3 linked regions of the Oreochromis niloticus genome follow. The main gene of each other region encodes a partner of the protein of the gene in region 2 in a complex. Links are inferred from orthologs where the notes say so. Each region holds a gene or a part of one and is shown on either strand. Other genes may lie near its edges.

Evidence for each region. The genes of interacting proteins can lie anywhere in the genome.
Region 1: the proteins of rad9a (region 2) and rad1 are in contact, whole or in part, in a crystal structure (PDB 3GGR), measured with the Homo sapiens proteins. The link is inferred for Oreochromis niloticus from reciprocal best matches to the Homo sapiens genes RAD9A and RAD1. Residues at the interface, in NP_004575.1 of Homo sapiens: Leu76, Ser82, Val83, Ser86, Leu90, Lys92, Leu112, Phe116, Gly117, Val118, Arg119, Lys120, Thr121, His122, Asn123, Leu124; in NP_002844.1 of Homo sapiens: Glu165, Ala166, Ser168, Glu169, Asn195, Ala196, Gly197, Ser198, Ser199, His200, Leu201, Asp202, Tyr203, Pro204, Asp206, Ser207, Glu211.
Region 3: the proteins of rad9a (region 2) and hus1 are in contact, whole or in part, in a crystal structure (PDB 3GGR), measured with the Homo sapiens proteins. The link is inferred for Oreochromis niloticus from reciprocal best matches to the Homo sapiens genes RAD9A and HUS1. Residues at the interface, in NP_004575.1 of Homo sapiens: Leu157, Pro158, Pro161, Val176, Ala186, Lys191, Ala192, Met193, Val194, Thr195, Glu196, Met197, Cys198, Leu199, Gly200, Asp203; in NP_004498.1 of Homo sapiens: Thr84, Asn87, Arg90, Ala91, Lys93, Thr94, Phe110, Ser121, Ser123, Ser126, Arg127, Ile128, Val129, Thr130, His131, Asp132, Ile133, Pro134, Ile135.

What each region holds. Positions count from the first base shown.
Region 1 is NC_031972.2:18,191,936-18,201,791, forward strand, and holds the start of rad1 (cell cycle checkpoint protein RAD1), read right to left. Parts: upstream 4,069-9,856; 5' UTR 3,542-4,068; intron 3,260-3,541; exon of another isoform or gene 3,048-3,259; intron 2,716-3,047; 5' UTR 2,672-2,715; coding exon 2,477-2,671; intron 2,364-2,476; coding exon 2,255-2,363; intron 2,165-2,254; coding exon 2,007-2,164; intron 1,791-2,006; coding exon 1,690-1,790; intron 750-1,689; coding exon 651-749; intron 1-650. Other genes in the region: c21h18orf32 (UPF0729 protein C18orf32 homolog), read left to right, coding at 4,112-4,291, 4,512-4,577; dym (dymeclin), read left to right, coding at 6,989-7,128. UniProt on the Homo sapiens protein: Component of the 9-1-1 cell-cycle checkpoint response complex that plays a major role in DNA repair. The 9-1-1 complex is recruited to DNA lesion upon damage by the RAD17-replication factor C (RFC) clamp loader complex.
Region 2 is NC_031966.2:22,444,266-22,453,892, forward strand, and holds the start of rad9a (cell cycle checkpoint control protein RAD9A), read right to left. Parts: upstream 4,229-9,627; 5' UTR 3,993-4,228; coding exon 3,959-3,992; intron 3,866-3,958; exon of another isoform or gene 3,843-3,865; coding exon 3,772-3,842; exon of another isoform or gene 3,649-3,771; intron 3,637-3,648; coding exon 3,563-3,636; intron 3,452-3,562; coding exon 3,403-3,451; intron 1,124-3,402; coding exon 1,009-1,123; intron 1-1,008. Other genes in the region: uncharacterized protein zgc:113229, read left to right, coding at 5,735-6,544, 6,620-6,762. UniProt on the Homo sapiens protein: Component of the 9-1-1 cell-cycle checkpoint response complex that plays a major role in DNA repair. The 9-1-1 complex is recruited to DNA lesion upon damage by the RAD17-replication factor C (RFC) clamp loader complex.
Region 3 is NC_031974.2:189,153-198,946, forward strand, and holds hus1 (checkpoint protein HUS1), read left to right. Parts: upstream 1-5,726; 5' UTR 5,727-5,861; coding exon 5,862-5,913; intron 5,914-6,555; coding exon 6,556-6,683; intron 6,684-6,800; coding exon 6,801-6,977; intron 6,978-7,401; coding exon 7,402-7,509; intron 7,510-7,599; coding exon 7,600-7,674; intron 7,675-8,779; coding exon 8,780-8,879; intron 8,880-9,129; coding exon 9,130-9,264; intron 9,265-9,365; coding exon 9,366-9,448; 3' UTR 9,449-9,764; downstream 9,765-9,794. UniProt on the Homo sapiens protein: Component of the 9-1-1 cell-cycle checkpoint response complex that plays a major role in DNA repair. The 9-1-1 complex is recruited to DNA lesion upon damage by the RAD17-replication factor C (RFC) clamp loader complex.

The DNA.
Region 1 (9,856 bases), on a different chromosome or scaffold from region 2:
GCCCTTTGGTTATTATTAGTTTTCCAAAACATAAGCCATAAAATGCTCAGAATTACAATCAAATAAAACAAACTAGATTTGAAGAAAATAAAATACTAAACAGTTTAATATAAATATATTCCAGCATTTCTTATGTTTCATTAAAAATGACTTCCACCATTGCTGGAGGTCATTTACAGTCTAGTTTGTTGGCATTACCCAGCTGATGCTGGAGAATCTGATATACGTCAACTTTGTTGTCCAAGGGTATATTTGACACAGTGACTGAACAGATATACTAATTTTATAATTCTCAAAGGAAAGATGTGTATATCTTGTTATAACTTTTTAATTTTTGGACTTGGATAAAAACATTCATGTCAACATCTTCAAATTTTTCATTATTATCAGAGTTATCTGCCCGGCAGCCATCCGTGAACAGGCATGTAAAAGGGTCAAAACTGAAAATGAGAGTAATGTCAGTCACAGACAGTTGCGAGATAAAGATCACTGGTAGACGCCAGGAGATAAAGAGCACTTTAGTCATTCACTACTTTGTATGACATTTGGTTTTAGTCGCTGTGTTGGTGCTTCCTGTCCTACCAGTCCACCTATGGGTAGTTTGTGTTCTCTACAGTCTAAATAATCTGTGCATGTGTTCGTGTGCTGACCTGTTCGTTTGTGTCTCGGTGCACTTAAACAGCTCCATCATGTCCGAGTCTTTGGAGTAATCATAATGAGCATTTCCAGCATTCCCAAATGTTGACAACCTTAGAAAATCAACAAATCAAATAATAATAATATAAATGAAAGGTAAAAAGAGCAGCACTTTCAAAAATAATGCAGAGGGGACAAAGTTACACTGCAAACTACCTCAGCACACTGATAATGAATGACAGGAAAAAGATCTATTTTGTTACAACAAATCCTTGAAGAAAGTCACTGTTCCTACCTTTAGCTTAGCTATACATTATATTTAGTGTTAGCTTCAATCCGATAAATACAATCCAGCATAAAACATGCCTCACCTTTACCGTTAAGAAGACTTAGTTTCCAAGAAGTGGATTATGTCTAATCCCAAATACTTTCCCCAGTGGATAACTTCAATGACTTTTCTTTTAAGACCTTTACACACCAGACTCATAAAAGAATTCATTTAAATATTTTGTGCATTGAAAATATTTTTCGGACTTTTTTTCAATTTTCAGAACGCGAATAAAGAGATCTGCCAATCAGACCACTGCATTTGGCAACAAAAGTGTGCTTGTAGTTTAAAACACACACCGGTGCTGAAAACCGGTGATGCAGCAAAAGTAAATAATACAATTTTAATACAGACACACAATCAGTTCTACGAAATTACTTCTCTGTCCCCTCAGATGTGATCCTAACTCTGCCCACAAGAATTCAAACTACCCCAATGACATCCGGAAAGATGTATGTAAGTAAGCGGTCGTGATACAGCTTCAACTTCTGAATGAAACCACGAAATTCTCCTTGTTGCTCTGAAACCAGAGTCTCTGTTTTTATCATTTCAGTGTTTACATATGTTATGTATTAAATTATGAATTTCGTCAGGTTTTTTTCCCAATGCTCTTGGTGTGTAAAGGCCTTTACAGTCATTTTAAACACAGTTATTTTTTTTAACTTTAGCAACGTAATCATAAACCAGCACAATACTGTAGAAAAAGTACAGTAAGGACAGCACACCTGAAGTATGGTTGGCTGGGGGACATGGTAATCTGTAGCACTTCACTTGTCATGTCCAGTTCAGAGAAGGCTTCCTTCAAACTCTCTGACTGCAAGATCACCTACAAAAGAGCCAGGGATACATCAGTTGTTACCGAGTTGTGTTTCCTGTTTTCTAACACCTGCAGATACTGTTATCCCAATTGGATTTGTAAAGTAAGGAAACCAGAGAAACTGTGATTTCTGAACTGATTCATTTGTATTAGTTTATCGTTTCCCATCTGATTTTTTTGTATATTCAATATTCGAGTTTTAATAACAGAAAAAGTGAAATTAACCTTGTTCGTGACATTAGTGCTGCAGAACTCAAAGTCAATCGGTTCTTCTGGTTCTTGTGTGTTAATCTTGCACACGGTCACTACACCACCTTCCTCCAGGAACAACGTCAGAGGGTACCCATACCCCCTGTAGCACATCCGCAAGGCTGTTGATACACCTGCAACATCACAAAAAACAGATATAAAGCATGCCGAGTCACATCTCAGGTGGGGTTTTTTTTTTATTAGTTTATTTTTATAAATTTTACCTGGTGTTGTGGTTCCACCAAATATATTGAGGCAATCGAGGAGAACAGTGAGGTTGATCTGAAAAGCCACCAGATCTTCTCTTATGGTGAACTCTTGGAAGATCTCAGCCTGGGGGACATGAGTACAATTTCACTAAGGTATCAGTATTATAGGATTAAACACAACGTAAACATACCTGCTCATTTAAGTATGTTCACTAACAAAATACAAGAGAAGCACACCTGGATGAAGGCATTGGCCTGCAGACATTTCGAGTCCTCCACTGTGACCTTAAGGCCATTGGTTGTAGCTGTGAAGATGGCGTGATCTTTGAAGGTGATTGCTTTCAGGATGTTGGAGAGATTGCGAGCATTGTCCAAACTCGCCACTAAAACGTACTGTTCGTCATCACCCTGCGACTGAGTGGCGAGAGGCATTGTAGCGCTGAAAAAAAGGCGCACAGATACCCGCTGTGAGCTCCCTGTAAAGGTAAACACATCAAATTAGCCGCTCCAATCATACATCACATGCGCATGAAGTTGAAACTTTGTTGAATGGCGTATCATTTATATTCTAAATCGGACAGAATGTTAATACGCCAAAGTGATATGTGTCGACTCTACAACACACACACACCGAACTGTCACTTTGCTTTTACTGAAGTACTAAGCTTGTTTTTTTTTTTCTGTAGCTCGCTTGTAGTTTAAAGTGACGTAAAACAGAAATTAACGGTAATATAATTTACATCTGTACTATCTAGATCCTCCTATACATTAATGTATTTAAAATATTCCCCCCAAAAACTGTAACTACCTTCGTGTCTCTTATAAAGCTGTTATGCAGCAGTTCTTGTGATTGTTTTTGAAGAAAGGCGCCCGGTGGTGAACAACTTCCGCCTGTCGCTCTTCTTCTACGGAAGTTGGAGTTAAAGTACGTCTTACGTCAGCAACATTCCAGATATTTCGCCATAAAACATACTCTGCCCATCGGTAGTGCGTGACAACATCATTTTGTGATTGGCAGAGGTGAGAGTCTTTATTCTGTCTTCCTCGTGTAACAGTTCAAATCTTTTTATTTTTATGTTTGAACTTTGGTGACAGTTTTTCATAATCGTTATAGCTACCGGGGTGTGATAGGACGCTAGCTTTAGCTCACTGTTTGATTTGAGCTTAGAGAGCATGAAACCAATAGTGTGTCAACTGTCAAGTTAAAAATGATCGAAAAACAATTTACAGCACACAACAACGGAAATCATGAACAGAGTAATTTGTGTAGTCGTGTGAAAGAAAGCTTCCTTCTATCGTTACCTAAGGTAGCTCAGGTTAGCCTTGTAAACGTCAGTATGGCTGACAGGTCGCTCTGTGTGGAGGACCCAAGCTGCCAGAATAAATAAAACAAACAAAATAATAAACGTCTCAGTACAGTCATTTCTAACTTATATACACCAGAAGAGTTTAAAATAAACGTAGGCAGTAATTGTTGTAAATATGCCATAAATTTCTTTTTTAAATTTGTGTAACCTATTTATAAAGAAAGATTCCTTTACTTTTCAAATTGTGTACACATTTCTGTCATTTCAACCAATATATTTTTTTGCTTTATTTTCGTGTTTTAAAGTGTATGTTGGATTGTTGTTTGATTTGGGGGGGTTTTAGTCGTTTTTGTTTGTTTGTTTAATTGTTTGTTTGTTTTTGTTTTTTAACTATTGTATACATGTTAAGAAATTAATGAAATGTTATTAAATCACTCTACAGGAACCTTGTAGCAATATCTCAACAACCAACCATAAACTTACTATGTATTTTTTTTACAACTCACAATGTTTTTTTCTCTACTGCAGGTTTTTCCATTTTTACTGCCCTGTCTAAACCACAGCTATGGTGTGCATTCCCTGTATTGTGATTCCTGTCCTCTTGTGGGTCTACAAGAGGTTCCTGGAGCCTTATCTCTATCCTTTTATTTCACCCATTATTAATATATTCTGGAGCAAAAAGGCAGTGCAGGAGACCAGTACTAATGACCAAAAAGTTAGTGAAAAGAGTAATGGGACTTGCAAGGTAAGTAAATGGATAATTTTTGTGATGTTTTCATTAAGAAACTTAAAAATAATTATGGAAATATTTCCCAGCTCTGGTATATAGAGCGAATATATCTAAAAATGATAGTAAAACTAATAGGAGCCACTCAAAGGGTCTCTGTGTTGTGTCATTTTTAACGTAAAAATTTCATAGTTATTTGATTGCAAGTTTTAAAAAAATTTTCACTCATGTTTTTCAGCCTGAAAGCAACGGCGAGGCCACTGCTAATGGATCTACTATAGCAACGGATAAGAAGACAGACTGACACCTCAAAATATATTCAATGCTTCATAAACCATGTAAATATTTCATTCTTCTAGAGAAACTATAAATTAACTTATAAAGCATCTTGGAATTAATTGGATTTTATAACCTTCCAGTTGTTATTTGGAGCTTGTTTTTATTTTTGTCATCCATCTTGTTGATATATTTTCTGTTAATCATGAATTGATACATCTGTTTATTGTATTGAATGATATAGATTTTGTAAGTTAAACTTTAAGCATAAATAATGAATAAAATAAACAAGACCTCTTAAGTGCTTCCGTTGCTTTTTCTTCATTTTGAATAATGTGTTCTCTTCATATTTGAGTTGTTAAGAAAGCTGTTTTGTTCATATAACTTTGAAATAATTAAAATAAATATGAAAGAATGTTAGCAACTTGACACGAAAGTAAGTATAAACTAATAATTTAGACCTGACATTTGTGTTTACTGCCGGTAGTAACAGTGTTCAGCAACAGTGTTCCATGTTATTATACAGACATATTTATGTCATATTTATGACATAATATGTCTATGTCATATTTCTCCAGACATAGAAGCAACTGGAAAACATTTGTCTTCACACATTGCTCAAAAAGGAAAAATATAGTTAATAATATTTAATATCTTTAAAGTATTGGAATATACTCTACACTGATCAGCCACATCATTTAAGCCATTGACAAGTGAAGTGAATGCTATTATTGACTTGTTACTGTGTCTGCATATGTTCTGTTGTGTAACTTGGCTTCCCCTTATTCAAACACGTTCACCATGATGCTGACCGGGCTGTCAATTTTCCGAGATGCCTCAGGACACCCCATAATTTGAAATGTATATGCTTAAAATCCCCTAGCAATAGCCTAAAATAAAAGTTTTTTTAAACATATAAACAGCATGTATTGCACCAATTTTTTTTTCATCTTATCTTATTAATATATATTTTGCTGAAAGTGATTTCGTTTGCGAACAGCCGAAACAATGCTATAGTATGGGCATACACTAGTTATTAAAAAATGTAAAATAGAGAAGTTAAAAAAAATAGAGGGCAGCAGTTCTGATATTTAGCTTCCAACTGGACGAACACACGAAGAAGACGTAGTAACCGCCCATATGTCGTCATTACGCACAGGGTGGCTACGTGGAAAACATGGAGGAAAGGAGTATGTAGAGTAAACTTAACTGTCTGAATTACAAAACAATTTCAGACCTTTTCCTTTGTCATTCGCACTTAATAAATCAACTGGACTAAACTTCAGGTCACTTTAAAAAACAGTAGTCGCCCCTGAACGGTCCTGGGAGTCAGCAGAGCCGCGGACAGCTGAGAGAAGCGTTTATGACAGGTAAGCTGAACGGTCAGCTGGCTGCTCTCTGTATATGCGTTATTAACCACTGACTAAACCAAAGCACTCCTCAATGAGAAATTTATTAGCGCCTATTTCATTCTTATGTGGGACTTTGAGTTTATATTGTTTACTATGAAAACTGCTAAGCGGCAGGCTATTTCCTGCACTTGAAATCAGTATGGTCAAGCTAACGTCGTGCAAGTAGATTTTAAAACAATTCTTTAAACAGTGTCATTTAAAGTAAATATAATATAATGAATATAATGAATATGAAAACGGAATTTTAGCTCTTGCTGGAGAAAGATAAATTGTCCTTTATGGTTTAGCACTGCTATGCAAATATTGTAAATGCTATACTCCACTTCACTTATGCTGACTACACCTGTGTGTCTAAGGTGTGTCATTACAAAAAAACAAAAGTCATGTCCTGGTTCAGTGTGTGTCGTCCTGCTGTGATGCTGTGAACTTTGGCTTTCAAGGATGAGTTTGTGTTTGAGTTGGTGAGATCTGTTTTACAGTTTTTGTAATGCACGAACATGAAGAACCAGGAGTGTATGTAAACTGGCTCTTACTCTTGTGCTTAAGCTCTGAGAGCACTTTATACAGCATGTGTCATCACAACTTTACACACGGACACATATTCATACAAGCACATTTTATATGTCTAAGTGCTTTTAATCAAACATTTACACTCCAGTGAATGCAACTCTGGGTTCAGTGTCTTCCCCATGCAGCCTGCAGTAGCCAGGGATCGAACCTGTCCAATTGAACCACAGTCATCCCTGGCACCCCTGGTGCCCTTGTTTCTTAAAGCCCAAAGCGACAAGGATGGCCTCTGTCTATTCCTATTTAGATCTGAGTGTAGGAGATGTATAAATGTAAACAGAAGCTCATTCATTCTCACATTAACCTTAATGAATTTGCTAATTCTGTAGTTAATTTGAAGCTCAGTTGTTTATTGTCTGTGCCTCCAAAGATTAAAGCATTTTCTTTGTCCCAGGTTTGGCATATGCCTGGTGAAAAAGCAGTGAAGAGCAGCGAGTCTGGCTGAGCACAGTCAGCAAAGATGGGAGCCAACACCAGTCAGGTCAGTGACCTGTCCGATAATCCCAGCCTCAAGGCCCTGGTGGGCACAGAGTCCATATCGGAGAATGACCCTTTCTGGAACCAGCTCATCTCCTTCACCTTCATCAGTCCCACCAGCAGGTAAAAAGGAACACTGTTTTTATTGTGTGTGCCTTAGACACAGGCACACACACCTGAAATTCAATACGCCTGTCAGCCATCACATTAAAACTGCAAACAGTCATTGCAGTGTCCTACTTTGTCTCCAAGCATTTATGTTAGTTTAAAAAGACACTCACATTAACATTGTTGCAAACCAATCACACCCATCCATGGCAACCACAATCCCCGATGACATCCTACCCTACTAGCACATTAGTCCCATCAGACATATCTAGGATGTTCCATAGCAAGCCCAATAAACAATTGCCCCACCTCGCAACACAAAGGGGTGGGGGGAGGTGTCCACATAACTTTTACTTGGCATCACTCTACTAATTTCAACTACTTAATTAGTAATTTATTAAGTCAAATAATTGAGGCTATGACTTCTAAACACCACTTTACTGTACTTTTACGATAAATAACTTTTATACACAATGTGACACTTTAAATCACTCAGATGAAACCTTCACATATCAAAACCGGCAAAACAAGCAGTAAGTCAGGAAGGCAAACAGAGTGGAGGAAACATTCATATTGACATAAGTGAATTTTCCTGGGTTGCAGACCTGAGATGCACTGATGTTTTTAATAATGGTTTGTTCCCTCCACCACAAGGGAACAAAGCCTTCTAGTTAGAAAGTCCTTTTAAGATTTACACCCAGGATTTAAGATTAAACTGTAAGGTTTAATCTTAAATCCTGAGCAACCTGAGCACCTGAGCAACGATCTAACAGGGCTGCTGATCTGCTTGGCTGTGATCAGACCAGTTAACCGTTAACGTTTAGTTCCTTTGTAAACAGCACTGAAAACGAAAGGCACCTTGTTTGCGCTTTCAGGTGGACCATGACTGATTGACTGATGTTACATGTTAATCTACTGATGTTGTGATGTTTTTCATTCATAAAATAAATATAGCTACAGTATCTACCAAGTAACAGAAACAGAAGACACATGTAACATTTTACATTCATACTTAGTGTTTGTCTAAAATAAGACTGAGAAATAGTGTCCTCTGTATTAAGGCAAAAAGTTGAGGCCTGTCCAAGTATACAGCAATTTGCTGCTGTCAGTGGGTCGGTCATGAGTAATTATCACTTCAAGTCGTCCATTTGAACATTGAGATTTCTGGTTGACAAACTGGTGTTAGTTTCTTCCTGTGTGTATTTGCCCTTACACTCTAATTGCTGCTCAAAAAGATAAACACAAATAGCTAAAATATCAGGTTGCTGCTATATTGAACCAAACTACTGAATGGTAATCTATAATAACTAGTGCTCTTGGAGTGCTGTGTCGGCTACAGAAGGACACACAGAGATTTCTCAACAAATTCTGTTGTTTGACATTTTAAGAAACCTCATGTTCACCCTTTAATGATGAAAGTCATGTGACTTGAACCCATTGAGCACTTGCAGGTTCAGAAAGTGGAACATTGTTGCTTTTTCTAATGGTTTGGTTACATATGTAGCACTTTCATGCAGCGTTTTATGCGTGTCATTCTTCTCCAGTATTGCAACAGTGGGCTGGCTGTCCTTAATGGCTTTACTTCTGTTATTTGTTCAAAGGCTTATAGCCCTGTAGTTGTGTAAGGCACTTGGCCTTTAAACAAAAGGAATAAATCTTTAATTATTTGAGACGCAAACAGTCACATGGTGAGACGTGATCAAACAAGAGACTTTCAAATTGATAGTTTGTGGATACACATCTTTTTGCACAATTTCCTCTTGTTCTGAAAGTTGAATGATGGCCAGTGTCACTGTCTTTGTGCCATGATAAATAAGTAGTTGAAGCCAGCAGCTAGCTAAATTAACACCGAAACAGGAAATGGTGTAAAGTAAAATTAGGTGTAGGTCAGGATAAGTGTTTGCTGTTGTCATGGTTACATTTAAGGGTAATAGTATGGGGTATTTATTAATGTCAAAGATGGTCAAGTCTGGCACCACACTTAATCAGGTTCCCACCAACTCTAAAGCCGTTCATAGGAATGGTTGTCAATACAGCAGAAGAACAGACAGAGATTTCTTAAAGTATTAGGAAGATGAACCACTAATGGTTTATCTTACTAATAATCTGAGAAAACTCTGCCTCTTCTTCTGTTCTTCACCTGTGTTGACAACCGTTTATCTGAGTGAAAGGGAAGCGCCTGCACATTAAACTCAGCAGCTGCGCACGCAAAAAAGCCATCGTGCACACAAGAGTGTCTGCTTTGGACGTGCTGCTACAGTTTTACACTCTCGTGGGTAGCTCTCTGCTACTTACTGCACTTTCACTGTCTGAAGGCGGAGCCTAAAGGAGGACGGGGGTCCTAATGTGACTGCTCACTTTGATGGACACTTCAGTTTACTGGGTTAAACTAAGTTGCACTGTGGCAGCGACGGAACGATGTTTTAAACTTTATTTGTTTACAATTTGAAAAATAAAGTTGCCAAATTAATCATCAGCAGTCACTGTTTGCTGTGCAGCAGTGAAATTACAGACAACTGTCCCGGTAATGTTAAAGAAATATTTTAAACTAGAGAATTGTAAGGCAAGTTCTGAAGCCTCTGCACTGCTGTCCCATTAATCTGTTTTACAGTATTACAAGGCTTCTATGATTTAAAAAATAATATTCTGATGCAAAATAATTTTGCATCAGAATCTGGCAATTATAAGTTTGGCCAAAATACAAACATTTAAACCTGTCAACAAAAGGTTGTTCCGTCTGCAG
Region 2 (9,627 bases):
TTGTTATGATTTGCTGCTATATAATTAACATTGAATTGAATTATGAACCCAAAAAAGTATCATCAGATTTTTATCCACCTCTCAATATCAACTAAAAAATGTCTGATTGGCAATGGCTTCATTTTTCAGCAAGGTAATAATCCCAAACACACTGCCAAAGCTGTTAAAGCATACTTGGATAGAAAAACACACTCTCAGTCGTGGATTGGCCTCTCCAGAGTTCGGACCTCAATGCTATTAAAGCAGTGTGGGACCATCTTGACGGAAAACGGAACAAAAGGCAGCAAACATCCAAATAAGACCTTTGAATGAAGCCTGGAGAACTATTCCTGAAGACTACTTAAAGACACAACAAGAAAGCTGCCTAAGGGTTCAGACTGTGTTGAAGAATAAAGATGCTTATAGCAAATACTGACTTTCTAACTTGTTACAATTATACAGTTTTTGCCTGATATACTGTATTTCCATGTATGTTTGCATGTTTCAATAAATCCCTGCACCTATTTCCTATTTTATTAGCAAAATATAAAGAAATGAGGAGTGACTCAAGAGTTTAGCACAGTACTGTATAGTTTAATAAATACATGTAAAAGCCATAGGAAAAAGGGTAGTTTTTCATTTAAAATAGCTACAGTTGAGGCACCTCTAAGTTTCAAAGAGATTATAGAAGTTTTGTTTTAGCTCTGTGCAGCAGTGACTTGCAGGCCTGACAGACTACATTTTACTCAGTCAACTTATCTCTAATATATTTGGGTTCTGCAGTATCTGGTGGACTATTAGAGTGTAAGTACAGACTTATAAATGATAACTACTTGTATTATAAATACAGAATTATAAAGACTTATATTTATCTGTAAGTCAATGCAAGGATGTAAGAACTGGATGTGTTCCCTCATCTCTGGGTTTGACACCAGCACCATTTTACATGCCTGAATGAGTTGTAAGCCTTCTTAAATCATCTATGGAAAACACTTTAAATGATCTGATAATGAAGTGAATCACTGATACCGTGCTTGCAGTGCAGGGTGAAGGTGAGACGGTCCTTCTGTTTGTCGAGATCAATGTGACACTTTTCCACTGTCTTCTCCAAAGTTGTCAGAGATCTGAACACAGACTGTACACTCTGAAACACAGGGGGGAAATAATGCTTATCAATACGCAATGACACACTCTGGTAGCAATCAATGCGAATAAACATTTTAGTGACACTCAAATGATATCTAAATCAATATGTTTGCCGTTTCTGAAAAGTGACACACAATCCAGTCTCTGATATAACTGCTAAGTACAACTGTTAATACGAGGAAGCTGTGAGGTTTTTGCAAAACTTGAACACAGATAACCACAACCGAAGGGTGGTAACACGACAGGAAAGGAGGCATTTGAAGCTGTCAGCAGATACAAGACTACACTCTCAATCCTAAGAATAAGATCTGCTATTCCTAACTGTAGTTACATCAGGGAGGCCCAAGTACGGCCATCATGCAGTTAATTTGAAAAACAGCAACAACGAAAAAAAAAACAAGGAACAGAAAAAATCATTATAAGAAAGTGTGATGTTTATCTTTAGTATGTTTAAAATCAAAGTAATCAAGAAACTATCAGCCACATTTCCCTAACATAGCAAACCGAGACTGAAAATGAATGTAAACCAGTGAGAAAAGGAGAAGAAAAATATATAGAGAGTAAGTTAAAATTGACATTTTTCACATTTTGGTAGTGGTCACATGAATGCAAACCTGACCAAACTATTAGACAAAAATCAGACTGGCAGCTGTAGTTTCAGTACATCTTTTGTGATCGAGTGGTTGAACTTTTTGTGATGGGACTTTGGGGTTTATTGCAAGGTCAATGTAGTTATTTAAAATTAACTGTGAGCTTAAAAAGAATTAAAACTAGACTAGAAAACAAAAGAAAAGTAACTGAAGTGATACTTATCACAACCTGCCTGAGGGGCCTTTGGTAAGCATGCTTAGTGAGATCCGTGACAGTCAAGTGACTGACTCTATGCAATCCCGAGATAAACTAAGTACCGTCTTACTGCTAGGTGCTTGTAATCAAATTCAAAATGTGAGTAGTTTGCATGTCTGGAGCATTCAGGTGTGTGTTAACACAATCCCAAGGATGGAACGTCAGCAGTGATCTTAAAGAAGCCATTGTTGATGCAAAGCAGTCTGACAGTGGTTATAAACCGAATTCCAAATAATTTGAACACAGTGGGGACGATTAATTACAAGTGGAAAACATTCAAGACAGCTGTCAATCCTTCCAGGTGTGGACGTCCCTGCAAACTCACACCAGTGACAGACTGTGCAGTGAACAGAGAAACTGCAAAAAAAAAAAAAAAAAAAAAAAAAAAAAAAATCCAAGAGCTACATTTCAGACTCTACAGGCCTTAGTTAGCAGTTAAATGTCAAAGTTCACGAGAGTACAATTAGAAAAAGACTGAACAAGTTTGGCTTGTTTGGAAGGGTTGCCAGCAGAAAGCCTCTCTTGGCTGTAAAAGAATATGGCAGCACATCTTCGGCTTGCAACTGAAGAAACCACAAGACCTCTGTTTGGTGAAAACCAAACACAGCATATCAGCACAAACACCTCATACCAACTGTCAGGTATGATGGGGAGAAGGTGATGATTTGAGCCTGTTTTGCAGCCACAGGACACTGACACCTTCCACTCATTGAGTTGACCATGAACTCCTCTGTTTACCAAAGTATTCCAGACTGAAATGTGAGGACATCGGTCTGACAGTCAAAACTTGTCCCAAACAGCATCATGCAGGAGGACATGAATCCCAAGTACCACAGCAAATCTACAACTGAATGGCTGAAAAAGAAAATAATTAAGCTCTAGACCTGACCCCAACTGAACTGCTGAGGTGGGACCTTAAGAGAACTGTGCATAAATGAATGTCCGCAAACTGTGATGCACTGAAGCAACACTGTAAAGAACAGTAGGCCAAAACTCCACCACAAAGATTTGAGACACTGGTAAAGTCAAACAGAAAACGATTACTTTGAAACAATGTAAGAGACTCATAAACTTCAAGTGATTGCTCCTATAGGTGGTTCTACAAGCTACTGAATCATGGGGTGTACTTAGTTTTTCACAGTTCTAACTGTAAGTAACAAAGACCTGAGAAAGCTAGTTTTCACAAGATTGTAACTGGAACTTAAATACCTTCACAAAGTTGCATATCTGTAGTAAAAGCTAATCTGAACTTGTGAAAAACACACCTCTGGCATATCCTAAATGTTCCTAAAGAAAAGAACGCTATAATAACTTTGGGTGTTATGTCATCATGAAAGTTTGGGAACCACATTATCTACTCAAATGTAATCAATGTCACACCCAGACTGTATAACGCCTTGAAAAACAGAAGCTTATCTAATTCTCTCACACCTTTATTGCCATCTTGCAGCGGAAGTTATCCCCACTAGTAGTGGAGTACCTGCACAGAAAAACAGAGGTATAAAAGGCAGATTAAAGTTAGCTCATATACACGCTTTCTTTTTCTCTCACACAGAGATGCCATTTATAAACACAGGCATGTATTCTGCACCTGCTGAAGAAGAGTGGTGCGAACAGGAAGCAAGCATAAGCCGACCGAGAGGAGTTCACAGACCGCAGGGCCAGCTACGAGAGAGAGAGAGAGAGACCAACAAATCAACTTTTTTCATTGACGCAAAGTGTGCACCCACAGGAAGCAACAAGCCTATCTGCATTGTAGGAGGAAGTGATGGTGTGCAAGTCAGTGTCAGAACAGCTCACCCCATCTTCCTGAGGCTCAACATACAGCTCATCGCCGATCCTGGACAGAGAATGGACGGCTTTGGCCAGTACTGGACGGTACAGACACACCCACCAACACACGCACAAGATAATTATTAGCGACAACTAATTAATGATACATATTCTAGCTAGAGACTGTGTTTAATATGCAGGAAATGTCTGCTACCTTTCACGTTTCCTCCCGTTACGATACAGTGCATCTCTGCAAACTCACTTTTCCGCTAAGTTAGCACATTTGGCTAAAAGTTAGCCAAAACGAGCGGCTAAGCATCACCGAGAAGTACACAAGACGGAGTTTTAATCGTTTCCACACCGAGAGCAAATCTTCCTACCGAAAGCATACTCCGTTTATTTCCAGTCTAAGTTTATTTTTCTCGGTTAAGCAGTGTCTCTTTCATCGATGTCAGCGTTGTTTACGCCGCCATTACCCGCTTACAAAGTGCGGACCAATCAGATACACGGCAACTTAAAGGGGGCGTGAGTTTGACAGTGCACATGCGCACTTAGTTTCCAAGTGAACATTCTGCCACTTGTCTTTTTTTCACTGCATCTTCGTGGCTGGTTATTTGTGATCGTCCCGGTTAGAAATATATAAAGATGGCGTGACGAAAAAACAAAAAATAAGGTATTAATGTAGTGGATAAAGAAGTATATTATTACTAATTGTTATATAAACTTTAGTTAATGATCAGCAACATGATTATTATTAAATAAGTTCATGTCAGAATAGGAAAGTAACTTTTCAAGTACTGTAGTGTACCTAGTTAATCTTATAGTCTAAACCTTCAGTCAGAAAGAAGGCAGTACAATTACTGTAATGACAAATGGTTTAAAATGCATTTTAGTAGGCTGAAATGTAGTTAGAACAGTTAAGAGTTTATCAGGGCAGCAGCATCTTGTAATGACTTGCAGTGGGGAACAATATAGCTGGTGGCTAACAAACCTATAAGAAATATTGCATGGTGTTCTCCAAGCTGAAGTACACTGCATGTTTGGAGAATCTACTACTTTATTTCAACAACAGTAGCAAAGAACTCTGTGACAGCATTTTTCACAGAATTGGTATAAAATGGGTTACTGCAAAGCTCAGTGCAGACATTTTCCTATATCTTTAATTTGGCAGGCGCATACATAGCGGCCGCTCTTAAAGAACGCCCTATAATTATCAGTTACGGGTCACAGAGGGTGTGTGTGCACTTGTGTGAGCAAGCGTGCCAAGTAGAGAAATGAGAAGGAAGGGAGGGCAAAATACAAAGATGGGCAGAAAGACACACAGTGGGAGAGAGTTAGAGTCAGCAAACAATTATCTCACCTCACTGGTCTTTCTTGTTGGTCTGCTTCAGTTTGTAAGATCTGAGGAACGCAGCCGTGCACAGTCTCCCCTCCCATTACCAGTGATATAAGTGGCTGCTGGAGAAGAGGTGTGACTACAACACCCGTAGTGTAATGGAACTATGGGTATTTAGTAAAAGCGAGAGACTTTTGAAAATTGGGAAAACAACAAAAGCTTATATCTCTTTGATGCAGAACAAGAGAAGAAGACTTCTGCTGCTCTTCTTGAGGATCGAGGATTAGTGGAGGCAGCATAAGAAGCAGCAGTTTACACAGAGAAGAAGAAGAAGAAGGATTTCTACCTCTGGACGGTTAAGTGGAAGAGGTGGATCTTTCTTCATATTTGCTATGAAGCAACTACATTGTCATGGAAAGGGATTGGATTATTCAGAAAGGCGAAAGCAGCCATAACAGGTGTCTTTCTAACAAGAACTGGACCAAAGAGTGATATCTTCTACACAAAGGTATTTTTCCTCTTGTCATGCTGGTTGTAAAGCGACGAATTATATTACTTGCGTAGAGTCCGTCCTTGTTTATCCGGTTTCACTGTGGTGTTGACACGTGTTTCTGCGACTCCTGGATTTAGAGGACTTAGAGGTTGTGTTCCTAGATGTCTCAGTCACCTAATCCAGCAGACTCCCACGCCCTGCTGCAGTCCATGCTGCAGAAACTGAGGCTGCAGTCGGAAAGAGAGGGCCAGGGGCACCGGCACACACTTGGACCAGAAAACAGCAGCCCAGGTACTAATGGTATCCCTTCGAATAAGGTCAGGAGCCCTGCTGCAGACAGCAACTTTAGCTTCAAATTTGGTCAACTACAGCAGCCCGGTCATGGAGGTGGGGTGGACAGGGGTTTTATTTCCTTCCCCTCCCAGAAAGACAACAGTGATGGTGACACTGGTGATAGCAGGGTTATGGGACAGGCGACACAGCCTGCGATCACCCCAACAGTAACAGGGCAGCTGTTTCCTACCACATCACTTAAGGATGCTTCCTTTGAGAGGACTGATACTGAGAAGTGGAGTTTTGGCAATTCTGCAATGAAAAGAAGCATGCCTCCTAACGCACATGCTGCCCAAAGCATGGGAGTGAATGAGAACCAGGAGCAGGGCTTTAAACCTAAGGCCTACCTGTGGGCCGTGAAAAACACAGACCCTTTCGCAGGAGGTCAAGACAATGAAGCGTTAAACGTAGGAAATGGAGGATTTGGAGCGATGGCAGAAAACAAAGATTCGCAGGTTGCCACAGACAGTCAAAAAACAACAAACAGCAGCGTGAGGAGGAAACAGAGATCATCTGAGAATAAAACCAGAAGGTGGACGCAGAGGCTCAAGGATCGATGGAAGGACAGACAAGGAAAAAAGGGAAAAGAAGAAGAAGGAGGAAGCATAGGAGACCAGAAGAGTGAGGAGGGACCTGAGGTGAGTAGTGTGTTTTGTCATATAATCATCAAAAAGAAATCTTGAAGTGACACTGCAACTTGTTTTTTCACGCAGATTTCACACCCAAACCAGGTTACAGAAAGCCTCATCAATGCATCAAATAAGGATGAAAGGACCCTCCATTCACTGGACACCAGTGGAGCCAGTAAAATGCTTCCTGCACGCACACAGGACGCCACTAACGACAGCCACATCAGGTAACAGGCACACAAATGATGCTAAATTGCACAAATACATCCAGACCTGCACTCTAGCAGCATGGCACAAACTGAAAGCCGTACAGGTTTTTTTGGCTTTATTTACTTTGAAACGTCAGCAGTAAGATATGCAAAGTATTTGAGATGTTTCCAGCCATCGGACATCTTTACTTTTGATGTGCGTCTGTGGTCTGATGTGCCAAACACACCCTGTCACTGACAGCATGTCATTACAAACTTTCATGTGTACGATGAGATTTTTTTATAACCTGCTATAAAAGGAAACAGATGTACATAGTTTCTGTGCAAGTAACTCATAAAGAACGATTCTCTCATTAGAACTTAACACAAAAGATGGAAAGATACTCACATCCCAAAGCCAAGTTTGTTTCCTTTTTTGTTTTTCCTACCAGAGACATAAATTATTAAAAACTCCCATATATGTAGCTTTAATTTTGAAGGATTTGTAATTTCATAAAACAGGTAGACTTAGCTGGCTGGATCTTGAGGAAGATTGAGGAACACTACAAAAACATAATCAAGTGATCTAGATGTGGTGCAAAACTGGTCTGTAGTATATTTAATGTACAGGAAATGCCACCTGAGCTCTACTTGCTGGAAATGAGAGCATGAAAAGTAGGTCGTAGAGAATATGAAATAGCTTAGAAATTGTAAAAGTGCGAATTTGACCAATGACAAAAGATAAGAACAAGCCTTAAAGCTATATAAAAACATACCGATACTTGACTGGTGGTGTCTCAGGGGGTAAAAACAAATAACAACAGGCAACAAACAAAAACCAGGTTTTATAAAATTTGCTCTGGTCAGCATTTCAGTTGTATTGAGTTAACTTGTAAGCTTAGTTGGCCCATGAAGGCCCATGTAAACTAATCTAAACTACTGCCACAGTGTGTGTCATTGATGTGTTTTATGTATATTGATACATTTCTAGGGAAACAGTGGAGTTCTGTGGCGCAGTGGACTAAACAGTAATACTTGCTAATAGAATTTAGTCAAACATAATCGAACTGGCAAAGACTCCAATTCGGCCCACTGAATGTCTTTGGAAAATGTGAAGGAGGGCATACATTTTTGACTTTTAACTGTATTTTCATAAACTTTACAGCTTGTTCTAGTGATAAAGACCTTTCCCACAATCATTCATAATACAATAATGAAGTAACAGATAAACACAAGTTCCTGTTCTTTTACTATCTACTATAGACATGTCTGGTTTTTGCGAGAAGACCACAGTAAGGTAAACAAATAAAATAGGACATTTTCTGTGTATTGACAAAAGCTTTCTCCAGGACAGCCTGGACAATGAGCAAACAGAACTTTAATAATTTAATCTGCTGAGAGATTTCTTTCATTAAGTACAGCAGCATTTCTTATTATGCTGTAAAGCTGAGACATATTGTTAAAACTGCACTTCTTTTTTCCTATATTGAGATCTCTGAGGCATTAAATGTACTCTTACACAAAGTGGTCTGCATGTGGCCCATTATGTAAAATCAGTTTGATATCTCTGCTCTATAATATAAAGTTAGGTCCATAAGTTGTTGGACAATGACAGTTTTTGTAGTTTTGTTCCTGCACACTGGGGTTTTACAAAAATTTTGCATTAGCTGTTTAGAAATTTCAGGGGATCAGAAGTAATTGGTTGTACTAAGATAATTTTAAATCTAAATACAATTTTCAGTACTTGGATTAAAGTAATTTGCAGTCAGTGACTCAGCCGTTAGACTCCTGAACACTCAGTGACTGGACTGACACATATGCAGTGTCTCACATTCATACACACACACACACACACACACACACACACACACACACACACACACACACACACACACACACACACACACACACACACACACACACACACACACAGACACCCCTACAGACACCAAGTTATTTTTGCACAATACTCAGCATTTTGCACATTTCTATTGCACTGTGTTGTGTCTATATCGTTGTGTTTAGTGTTGCACTGTCTTGTCTTGTTTATTTTTTTGCACATTGCACTTTTACGTAGTCTAGTCCTGTGTTTGTCTGTTATATGTCATATGTAGCACCAGGGTCTCGGAGGAATGCTGTCTCATTTCACTTTGTACTGTACCACTGTACATGGTCGAAATGACAATAAAAGCCACTTGACTTGACTGGACTTGACTTAAAATGCTGTGTTTCCTCCCTTGCGATGCTCTGCCTGACCTTTACCGTAGTCCCCTACAGTTGTTTGTGGGTCTCTCTGGTTTCAGTTTAGTTTTTGGTAACTGAAAAGCATCCTCTGTTAGGCTCAGGTGACTGAAATGGCCATCGAAGAATATCCGTTTCTTTGCCTTGAGAAACTCTTGGGTTGCTTTTGGAGTATAATTGTAGTCTCCATTTGCACCATGAAACACTGTCCTGATCAGTTTTGGAGCATTTGGTTGAATCGGAGCAGAGAGTAGAGCCCTGCACACTTCACAATTTATCCTGCTGCTTCTTTTAGCAGTCATATCACTAATAAAGACCAGTGACCCAGCTCCAGCTGTACATGCCTATACTGTAACACTGCCTCCACCATGTTTGACAGATGACGTGGTACGCTCATGAGGATCATGAGATGTTTCTGTCCTCCTCCACATTTTTATCTTTCTATCATTACAGTTCAAAGTCCAAAGAATTTTTCAGAACCACATGTTTTCTGGCAAAAGTCTAATTTGGGCTTCTTGCTCTTGAGTGTAATCAGTAGTTTGCACCTTGTTGTAAACCCTCTGTTTCTATTCACGAAGGCGTCTCTTGATTGTAGTCTTTGATAATGATACACCTACCTCCTCGAGAAACCTCTTGAGTGAGTTGAGTGAAGTTGTTTTTGTT
Region 3 (9,794 bases), on a different chromosome or scaffold from region 2:
TAATAATCTTCTGCTTGCAGCTGACTCTGGACTCATCATCATCCTCATTCTCCTTGACCTTAGAGCAGCTTTTGACACTATCTCCCATCGCATCCTTCTTCATAGATTAGCATCTATTGGCATCAACGGTCCTGGGTGAGGGACCAGACAAAGAGCGATTCAGAAGACCCTTATGAAGAGAATATCGAGGGAACAGTTTACCCTGCCTGGGATAGGGTTACCGGGGCCTCGCCCTGGAGCCAGGCCCGGGGAGGGTGCCCGAGGGCGAGCGTCTGGTGGCCGGGCCTTAGTCCATGGGGCCCGGCCGGGCACAGCCCGAAGAGGAGACATGGGCCCATCCTCCCACAGGCCCACCACCCGCAGGAGGTGCCATAGGGGTCGGGTGCATTGTGTGCTGGGCGGCGGCCAGGAGCGGAGGCCCTGGCGGACTGATCCCCGGCTGCCAAGACTGGCAATAGGGACATGGAATGTCACCTCTCTGGTGGGGAAGGAGCCTGAGTTAGTGCGTGAGGTTGAGAGGTACCGGCTAGATATAGTCGGGCTCACCTCTACGCATGGCTTGGGCTCTGGAACCAGTCTCCTGGAGAGGGGCTGGACTCTGTCTCAGTCTGGAGTTGCCCCTGGTGAGAGGCGGCGGGCTGGGGTGGGTATTCTAATATCCCCTCGGCTTGCTGCCGGTACGTTGGGGTTTTTCCCGGTGGACGAGAGGGTTTGTTCCCTGCGCCTTAGGGTCGGGGAATGGGTCCTGACTGTCATCTGCGCTTATGCGCCGAGTGGCAGTTCAGAGTACCCAGCCTTCTTAGAGTCCCTCGGTGGGGTGCTGGAAGGTGCCCCATCTGGAGACTCTGTTGTCCTGCTGGGAGACTTCAATGCTCACGTGGGTAACAACAGCGAGACCTGGAGGGGCGTGATCGGGAGGAACGGCCTCCCTGATCTGAATCCGAGCGGTGTTTTGTTATTGGACTTCTGTGCAAATCACAGTTTGGCCATAACGAACACCTTGTTCGAACATAAGAGTGTCCATAAGTGCACGTGGCACCAGGACGCTCTAGGCCGCAGGTCGATGATCGATTTTGTAATCGTATCACCAGACCTGCGACCATATGTTCTGGACACTCGGGTAAAGAGAGGGGCTGAGCTGTCAACTGATCACCACCTGGTGGTGAGTTGGATCAGGTGGCGGGGGAGGACGCTGGACAGACCCGGTGCACCTAAACGCGTAGTGAGGGTGTGCTGGGAACGTCTAGCAGAGGCCCCAGTCCGCGAGATCTTCAACGCACACCTCCGGCAGAGCTTCAACAGCATTCCGAGGGAGCCTGGGGACATTGAGTCCGAATGGACCATGCTCAGCGTCTCCATTGCCGAAGCTGCTGCAGTGAGCTGCGGCCGCAAAGTGGTTGGTGCCTGCCGTGGTGGTAACCCCCGAACCAAATGGTGGACACCAGGGGTGAAGGGAGCCACCAGGCTGAAGAAGGAGTCCTATCGGGCTTGGTTAGCCTGTGGGACTCCGGAGACAGCCGACAGGTATCGACAGGCCAAGCGGAATGCGACTCGGGCAGTGGCTGAAGCAAAAACTCGGGTGTGGGAGGAGTTCGGAGAGGCCATGGAAAAAGACTTTCGGACTGCCTCGAAGAGATTCTGGCAAACCGTCAGGCGTCTCAGGAGGGGAAAGCGGTGCTCTACCTGCACTGTGTATAGTGCTGGCGGAGCGCTGCTGACGTCGACTGAGAAAATTGTCAGGCGGTGGAAGGAATACTTCGAGGACCTCCTTAATCCCACTGACACGTCTTCCGAGGAGGAAGCAGAGTCTGGGGATGAGGGGAATGACCCGCCAATTTCCGGGGGCGAGGTCACTGAGGCAGTTAAACAACTCCTTGGTGGCAGAGCCCCTGGTGTTGATGAGGTCCGCCCCGAGTTCCTGAAGGCTCTGGACGTTGTAGGGCTGTCCTGGTTGACACGCCTCTACAATGTTGCGTGGAGATCAGGGGCAGTACCCCTGGACTGGCAGACCGGGGTGGTGGTCCCCATCTTTAAGAAGGGAGACCGGAGGGTGTGTTCCAACTACAGGGGGATCACACTCCTCAGCCTCCCTGGGAAAGTCTATGCCAGGGTTCTGGAAAGGAGAGTTCGTCCGCTAGTCGAACCTCAGATACAGGAGGAACAATGTGGTTTTCGTCCTGGTCGCGGAACACTGGACCAGCTCTTCATCCTCTCAAGGATACTTGAGGGTGCATGGGAGTTTGCCCAACCAGTCTACATGTGTTTTGTGGACTTGGAGAAGGCATTCGACCGTGTCCCTCGGGGTGTCCTGTGGGAGGTGTTGCGGGAGTATGGGGTGTCTGGCCCATTGCTACGGGCCATTCGATCCCTATACAACCGTTGCAAGAGTTTGGTTCGCATTGCCGGCAATAAGTCGGACTCGTTCCCGGTGGGTGATGGGCTCCGCCAGGGCTGCTCTTTGTCACCGGTTCTGCTCATAATTTTTATGGACAGGATTTCTAGGCGCAGCCAAGTGGCGGAGGGCTTTTGCTTCGGTGGCCTCAGAATCTCATCTCTGCTTTTTGCGGATGATGTGGTTCTGTTGGCTTCATCAGGTGAGGGCCTCCAGCTCGCACTGGAACGGTTCGCAGCCGAGTGTGAAGCAGCGGGAATGAGGATCAGCACCTCCAAATCTGAGGCCATGGTTCTAAGCCGGAAAAGGGTGGAGTGCCCACTCCGGGTCGGGGATGAGTTCCTGCCCCAAGTGGAGAAGTTCAAGTATCTCAGGGTCTTGTTCGCGAGTGATGGGAGAAGGGAGCCGGAGATCGACAGACGGATTGGTGCTGCGGCTGCAGTGATGCGGACGCTGCACCAGTCCGTCGTGGTGAAGAGGGAGCTGAGTGTAAAAGCGAAGCTCTCAATTTACCGGTCGATCTACGTCCCTACCCTCACCTATGGCCATGAGCTGTGGGTAGTGACCGAAAGAACGAGATCGCGGATACAAGCGGCAGAAATGAGCTTCCTCCAAAGGGTGGCTGGCCTCTCCCTTGGAGATAGGGTGAGAAGTTCGGCCATCCGGGAGGGGCTCAGAGTAGAGCCGCTGCTCCTCCACATCGAAAGGAGCCAGTTGAGGTGGTTCGGGCATCTGACAAGGATGCCTCTTGGGTGCCTCCTGGGTGAGGTGTTCCGGGCATGTCCCACCGGGAGGAGGCCCCGGGGCAGACCCAGGACACGCTGGAGAGATTATATCTCTCGGCTGGCCTGGGAACGCCTTGGTGTTCCCCCGGATAAGCTGGAGGAGGTGGCTGGGGCGAGGGAGGACTGGGCTTCTCTGCTTAGGCTGCTGCCCCCGCAACCCGGCCTCGGATAAAGTGGATGAAATGGTAAATGGCCTGCATTTGTATAGCGCTTTTCTAGTCCATAGGACCCCAAAGCGCTTTACACTACATTCAGTCATTCACCCAGTCACACACACATTCACACACTGGCAATAGCAAGCTACATTGTAGCCACAGCTGCCCTGGGGCGCACTGACAGAGGCGAGGCTGCCGTACACAGGCGCCACCGGGCCCTCTGACCACCACCAGTAGGCAAACATGGGGTTAGTATCTTGCCCAAGGATATTTGGCATGCAGCCAGGATGCAGCCTGGGATCGAACCACCGACCTTCTGATTAGTGGCTGACCTGCTCTGCCACCTGAGCTACAGCCACCCCAGGGTGTGTAGATGAAGATGGATGGATGGATGGATGGATGGCATCAACGGTACAGTACTCGCCTGGTTTACCTCTTATCTCTCTGGCCGCTCACAGTTTGTTCAATTACTCCCTCACAGATCACGATATACTCCAGTTAGGCGCCAAATCAAAACTGACCAAAGTCTCACCCAGAAGTTTTTCATTATCCATTGATAACTCTGTTGTCACATCCTCCCCTCAGGTTAAGCGTCTTGGTGTCATCCTTGATAGCACTCTGTCTTTCACAGCACATATAAATAATATCACTTGGTCTTCCTACTTTCATCTCCGTAATATTAACCTCCTTCGTCCCTCACTCACACCACACAGTATCACCATACTTGTCAATGCTCTTGTCACATCTCGTTTAGATTACTGTAACTCTCTTCTCTATGGTCTGCCTCATAAATCCCTCCATAAATTGCAGTTAGTTAAAAATTACAGCTGCTCGTATTATTTCCAGAACTAGATCCACTGAACATATAACACCTGTTCTTAAACAGCTCCATTGGCTTCCAATTCACCTCCGTGTCAATTTCAAGATCCTGCTTCTTACTTTCAAAGCGCTTCATAACCTCGCTCCTCCATATCTATCTGATCTTCTCCATACATACTCACCCCTTCGTACACTCCGCTCTTCTTCAGCTTCCCTTCTGTCTGTTCCACCTGCTCGCCTGACTACCATGGGACTCAGAGCCTTTAGTTGTTCTGCCCCGAGACTTTGGATGCACTTCCACTTGCTCTACGGACCACACACTTTTAAATCCCATCTCAAAACCCATCTATTCAGAATTGCATACACCTGATTCTGTCTTAGTCCATTTTTACCTTGCTCAGCTTTTATACTTTCATGCCAGTTTGTTGTTGTTGTTGTTTTTTTACCTTATGTCTAAATTTTATTTTGCCACATTTATTATATTGTATTGTTGCTATTCTTCTTGTGCTATTGTAAGGTGACCTTGAGGGCCTTAAAGGCGCTTATAAATAAAATGTATTATTATTATTATTATTGTTTTTGCAGCTGACTGTGATCGACTGAGGTGTTTTTCAGCTGATAAAGAGACACAAATATTTTACCTCCTTATTTTTAGAAACACGTTCAAAGAAAATCACAAATGATGTGTGTCAGCGATAAAATGAACTCAATTCAGAAAACTCAGAGACGATAAATGAGCACATGAAAAAGAACAAACATGATCACAGTGTGATGCTTCAGCAATGGGAATAAACTTGTTTCCGTCTGATGGTAAAATGTAGGTTTGTGTTAAATCTTCAAAGACACATGAGATTTACACGCCTGATGTCACTTAAATTTATATGAGAAAATGTGTCCAAATCAATAATTTATATGAATAAAAATATAAATAAATACACTCAGCGGCACTTTAGGATGCTTATTTATTTGTTAAGTATTTTGAAGAAAAATATCTTTAATTTAATGCATGTAGACAAGCTTTAGTCTAATATTCTAAAAAAAAATTAAATTAAATTAAAAAAAACATTGAAAAGTTGCCACAAAATAAGGTTTTTAAAAGTTGTTGCCTTTTTTCTCTCTGGAAGTTGAAGTTCTTTTTTTTTACAGGATTGTCTGAGTATAATTTTTCTGATAAGATCCTAATATTACCTCACAGAGTAAAAATGAGCCACAGCATGCACAGGCTGCTGTTTCTGAGGGTTTTTCGTGTTTTTATTGGTCTAGAACAGGGTGTAAAACTGTTATATAGTGACCAATATTTAACGAGACATCATATCTTTAAGTGTGAAGAACATTCTGTGTTCACCAAAAAGCTGACTCTAGGTGAAAGCTGCCAAACGGATCTTTGAAGTTATTTTCTATCCCAGTTACAAAAAGATAATGAACAGACTGAAAAGTGTGATTTCAACAGTATGTAAGTAAAAATATAGACCGCACTGGTCCGCTACAGTTTTCTGCCCCTGTACAGACCATTTAAAGGGCCCTGTTCTGGTCCCCGTGCCACATATTTAATTCTGCTGGTTGTTTTCTCCTTTCGTTGGGCGGAAAGATTAACAGTTTCCATGTGGCTGTTGTTTCCGTCGGACCGTAGACACAGACGGACCAAACAAATGAAAAAGTTCCCCGCCTGAAGTCAAAGCGGAAGATTAAATTCTGCTGCCCGGGGGAAAAATGAAGTTTCGGGGGAAAATCATCGACATCGCCTGTTTGAACCACTTCACCCGTGAGTCTCAAACATCTGTTTGTACCGAGGGCCGAAGCTAAGCTGTTAGCTTCCCTCCAAATGCTGCACAGAAACTGTGAAAATAAAAGTACACCTAATTTAAAGTTCCTGAAGCGGGACTTTGTTCTTTCTTTAACTTTTCTGACATGTTAGGAAATGTCTGTAGTTCGGTTTACAGCATGTGCTCAAAGAGCCGCAGACTTTGACAGTTTAACTGGTGGTTTGTCCTGATTAGTGTTATCTAAATTCAACGAAATCTACGTGGAGTCTTGTGCAGGGCTATGAGTGCACATTTGGACCGATTCATGAACAACCACAAAAATATCAGCTGTATGTTTATGCTGAATGAGTAATCTGTTATTTAATGGCTCTGTGGAGCTGCTCTAGTTTTCCACTTTTCATTTTTAGCTCATTTTTGTTTTTGAAAGTAAGTTTTAATGTTAAAATGTCTAGTTGTACTTAGTTTTCAATAGTTGTAGTATTAATTGTTGTTTTTAGTGTGTTTATCAGGGTCATGTTATTCAGAAGTGCAGATCAGATACCTAATTAAACTAAACTATTAACTACTATTATTAAAACTAACCGAGTCTGCGTGTGACTGATTAAATATTGCTCCTGGTTCACACCTCTGATCTTTCTCAGGAGTCGTCACCACCATCTCAAAGCTGACAAAGATGTGCGTCCTGCGGCTGACCCCGGACAACCTGTTCTTCGTTCTGTCCGGTAAAGTGGCCAACGGCGGCGTCAGCATGTGGTGTGAGCTGTCACAGGTGAGAGCCGACGCTCCGGCTTCCAGCTGCTAAGAAAATAAACTCAGGAATGAGTCTGAGATGATCAGGACCTATTAAATTATTTCAGTACCCTGATCCCGTCCTTCCTCCCCGCAGGCCAACTTCTTTGAGGAGTACCAGATGGAGGGCGTGTCCTCCGAGGACAACGAGATCTGTCTGGAGGTGACTCCGGAGAATCTGTCCAGAGCCCTGAAGACGGTCCAGAACGCCAAAGCGGTCAAAGTCAAACTGACCAAGAAGCACTGCCCCTGCCTCACCATCGCCGCCGAGCTGGTGAGAGCATCCGAGAAAAAACTCAGTTTACCTGAGAAGTCTGTCTCTGCTACAGCTCGAATTATATAGGTTTAATTTCACATTACTATTCATAATATCGGACGATACGCTGCATCTGGGGATAAGTTTATCTACGGCCAGGTCTCCGAACCAGAATCCAGCCACAGGTTTATCAAACAGTTACATTTATAATGTGGAGTGGTTCACTCCAGTGTGAACCAAGGCCAGAAAACAATAAACGCAGCTGAGGTGTCGACCAAACCCTGAGAGGAAACTAAACAAGAGTCAAATCTAGAAGCCAAAAGCAGAGCCATAGACAGCTCATATTGGCTCGTCTTGTTTTTCTGGCTGCTTTTAAAACTGGTTTAACTCATTTGAACCTTTAATCTGAGAAACCTGAGCCCTCTTCCTCTGTGCCGCCCAGCCCACCCTGTCCAGCGTCAGTCGAGTCGTCACTCACGACGTCCCCGTTGACGTCATCCCCCGGAGACTGTGGCACGAGTTCAAAGAGCCGAGCATGCCGGACTTTGATGTAAGCGAAGCTTCCGAACACCAAATCATCCTTTTTATGAGCGCTGACTTTGTTTTGTCCATCACGGGTTGTGTGTTTGTGTCACTGCAGGTCAGCATCTACCTCCCTCCCCTGAAGACCATGAAGAACATCGTGGACAGGATGAAGAACCTCTCCAACTTCCTGGTAGGAGGTTAAACATGTTCAGATCAAACACGGACTCATACAGAGAAGATCTGCAGCTTTATTTCTCTGGATTTGGGTCATTTCAGTAACAGCTGTTGCCGCGGTTACGTGTAACAAACTGCCCGGCATTTTTTTAACATGACACTAAATTCCTTTCGTTTGAAATATGTGAAGAAACACATTTTCCTGTATTTCAGCCCTCCGCCCGGCCCGATGTAGGAGGACAAATATTGGATTGAATGTGAACACGATGTTTATGTCAGCTTTTCCTGAGAAGTCAGATTTAGACATTTTTGTCAACAATGCAGAAAAAATAATGTCATGTTTAAACTCGGGCCTCATGTTACCTGCGACAGGTGACACACAGAACCTGAAGCCTTATGTCGCTTTAGATGTTTAGATGAAATATGCTGAAATATTTGGAGCGTTTTCATCTTTTTACCTGCGGTCGGACAGGAAGTGAAGGTGTTAACACCTCGCCAGACTCGGGATTTTACACGAGCGTTCACCCACTGCTGCCTCGATTGGTTAGTTGGGTTTTATAGCGCTGTGTTAAATCCTCGCTGTAACCAACATGAACTTTTCAAGAAGCCTCATTTCAGGTTTCATAAACACCTCCAGCAGTGACTCTGAAGAGTCAACTCCAAGAGGAAAACACCACCGCCACCTAGTGTTTGTGCGGTGAAATGAGTGAAATACTGACTTGTGTGGCCTTCTCAGTATGAACATGTAGATTCAACACAGGAGGATACATTTAGAATATTTTTAGTAGTTAATGATCAGTTAGTTTCATTTAGATCAATAAAGTTTCCTTTCTTCCAAAACTGGATGACCTTCAATGACATGAAAATCTAATTAAAAAAGGATTTAATGTCACAAGTTTTCTGAATCAAAGACAGAAAATTTCCTTACCAGTGAATCTGAATCATAATTCTCCTTAAAGAGACTTTAAAGTCTGAATCTTCATGAAAACTAACCAAAAAAAACACCTGAACGTTATTATTGATGTGTGTGTGTGTGTGTGTGTGTGTGTGTGTGTGTGTGTAAATGGTAAATGGACTTGTTCTTATATAGCGCTTTTCTACTCTGTGTGTGTGTCTGTCAGGTAATCGAAGCCAACCTGAACGGAGAGATGAACCTGAAGATTGAGACCGATCTGGTTTCCGTGACGACTCACTTCAGAGACCTGGGAAACCCTCCGTGGGGTAAAAACACGTTTTAGCTCCACGAGCAGCTCAGACCTGCTGACGGATGCTCCGTGATCTCTGTAGCTCAGTCAACACGTCAGATCCCTGATAACAGTTAATTGTGGGGGGCGGGGCCTAAAGCCACACCCTCCACCTGCTGCTGAGAGCCACACAGAGTGTCTCATTTATGTTTAATAATTACTGATTATCAGTATATCAGCGGGCCTGTGGTCCACACTTTTCATACATTGCTCCTCCCTCCCTTCAGGCGATGACGCCTCCCAGGATGGCGGCCCGTCTCAGAGCAGGGACCCGGAGAGCATGGTGGAGGCCAGGGTGGACATCAGGAGGCTGCAGCAGTTCCTCATGGGGCAGCAGGTCAACCCCAGCAAGGCCATGTGCAGTGAGTCTCCCCTCACATGTTCGCACTCAGGACAAAACCCACCGGGGTTTAATCCACGTCACAGTTTAATGCGTTTCTCTCGGTCCTCTCGTCCTCCTCAGACATCGTCCATCAGAGCGTCCTCCACCTGATTCTCCTGCATGAAGACATGTCGCTGCAGTACTTTATCCCCGCTGTGGCGTAGACGCTCTGCTCGGCACTCAGCGCCAGTCTGAGGAAGTAAAAATGGACTAAATGGTTTCAGGTGTTTCGTCACATGGAGACAAAGCTGACCGCGCCTGTGCTCCATCTGACGGAGGCTCAGAGTGGAGCTCACAGGCTCTCCTCCCACCTGTGATGGTGTTGGAGACGACGGAGGAGGTTTGGACTGCTGAGATAAAGAGTCTGTGTTTGTGAGACGTTTCGGTGGTTTTTGATTAAAAACGTGTTAAAGTAAAAACATTCAAATATGTAAGTTGCTTTTTTAAAAAGTGACAATAAAATAAAAACTGAAGTATAAACATTTCAGGCTGCAGTGTCTCGATGCAGCT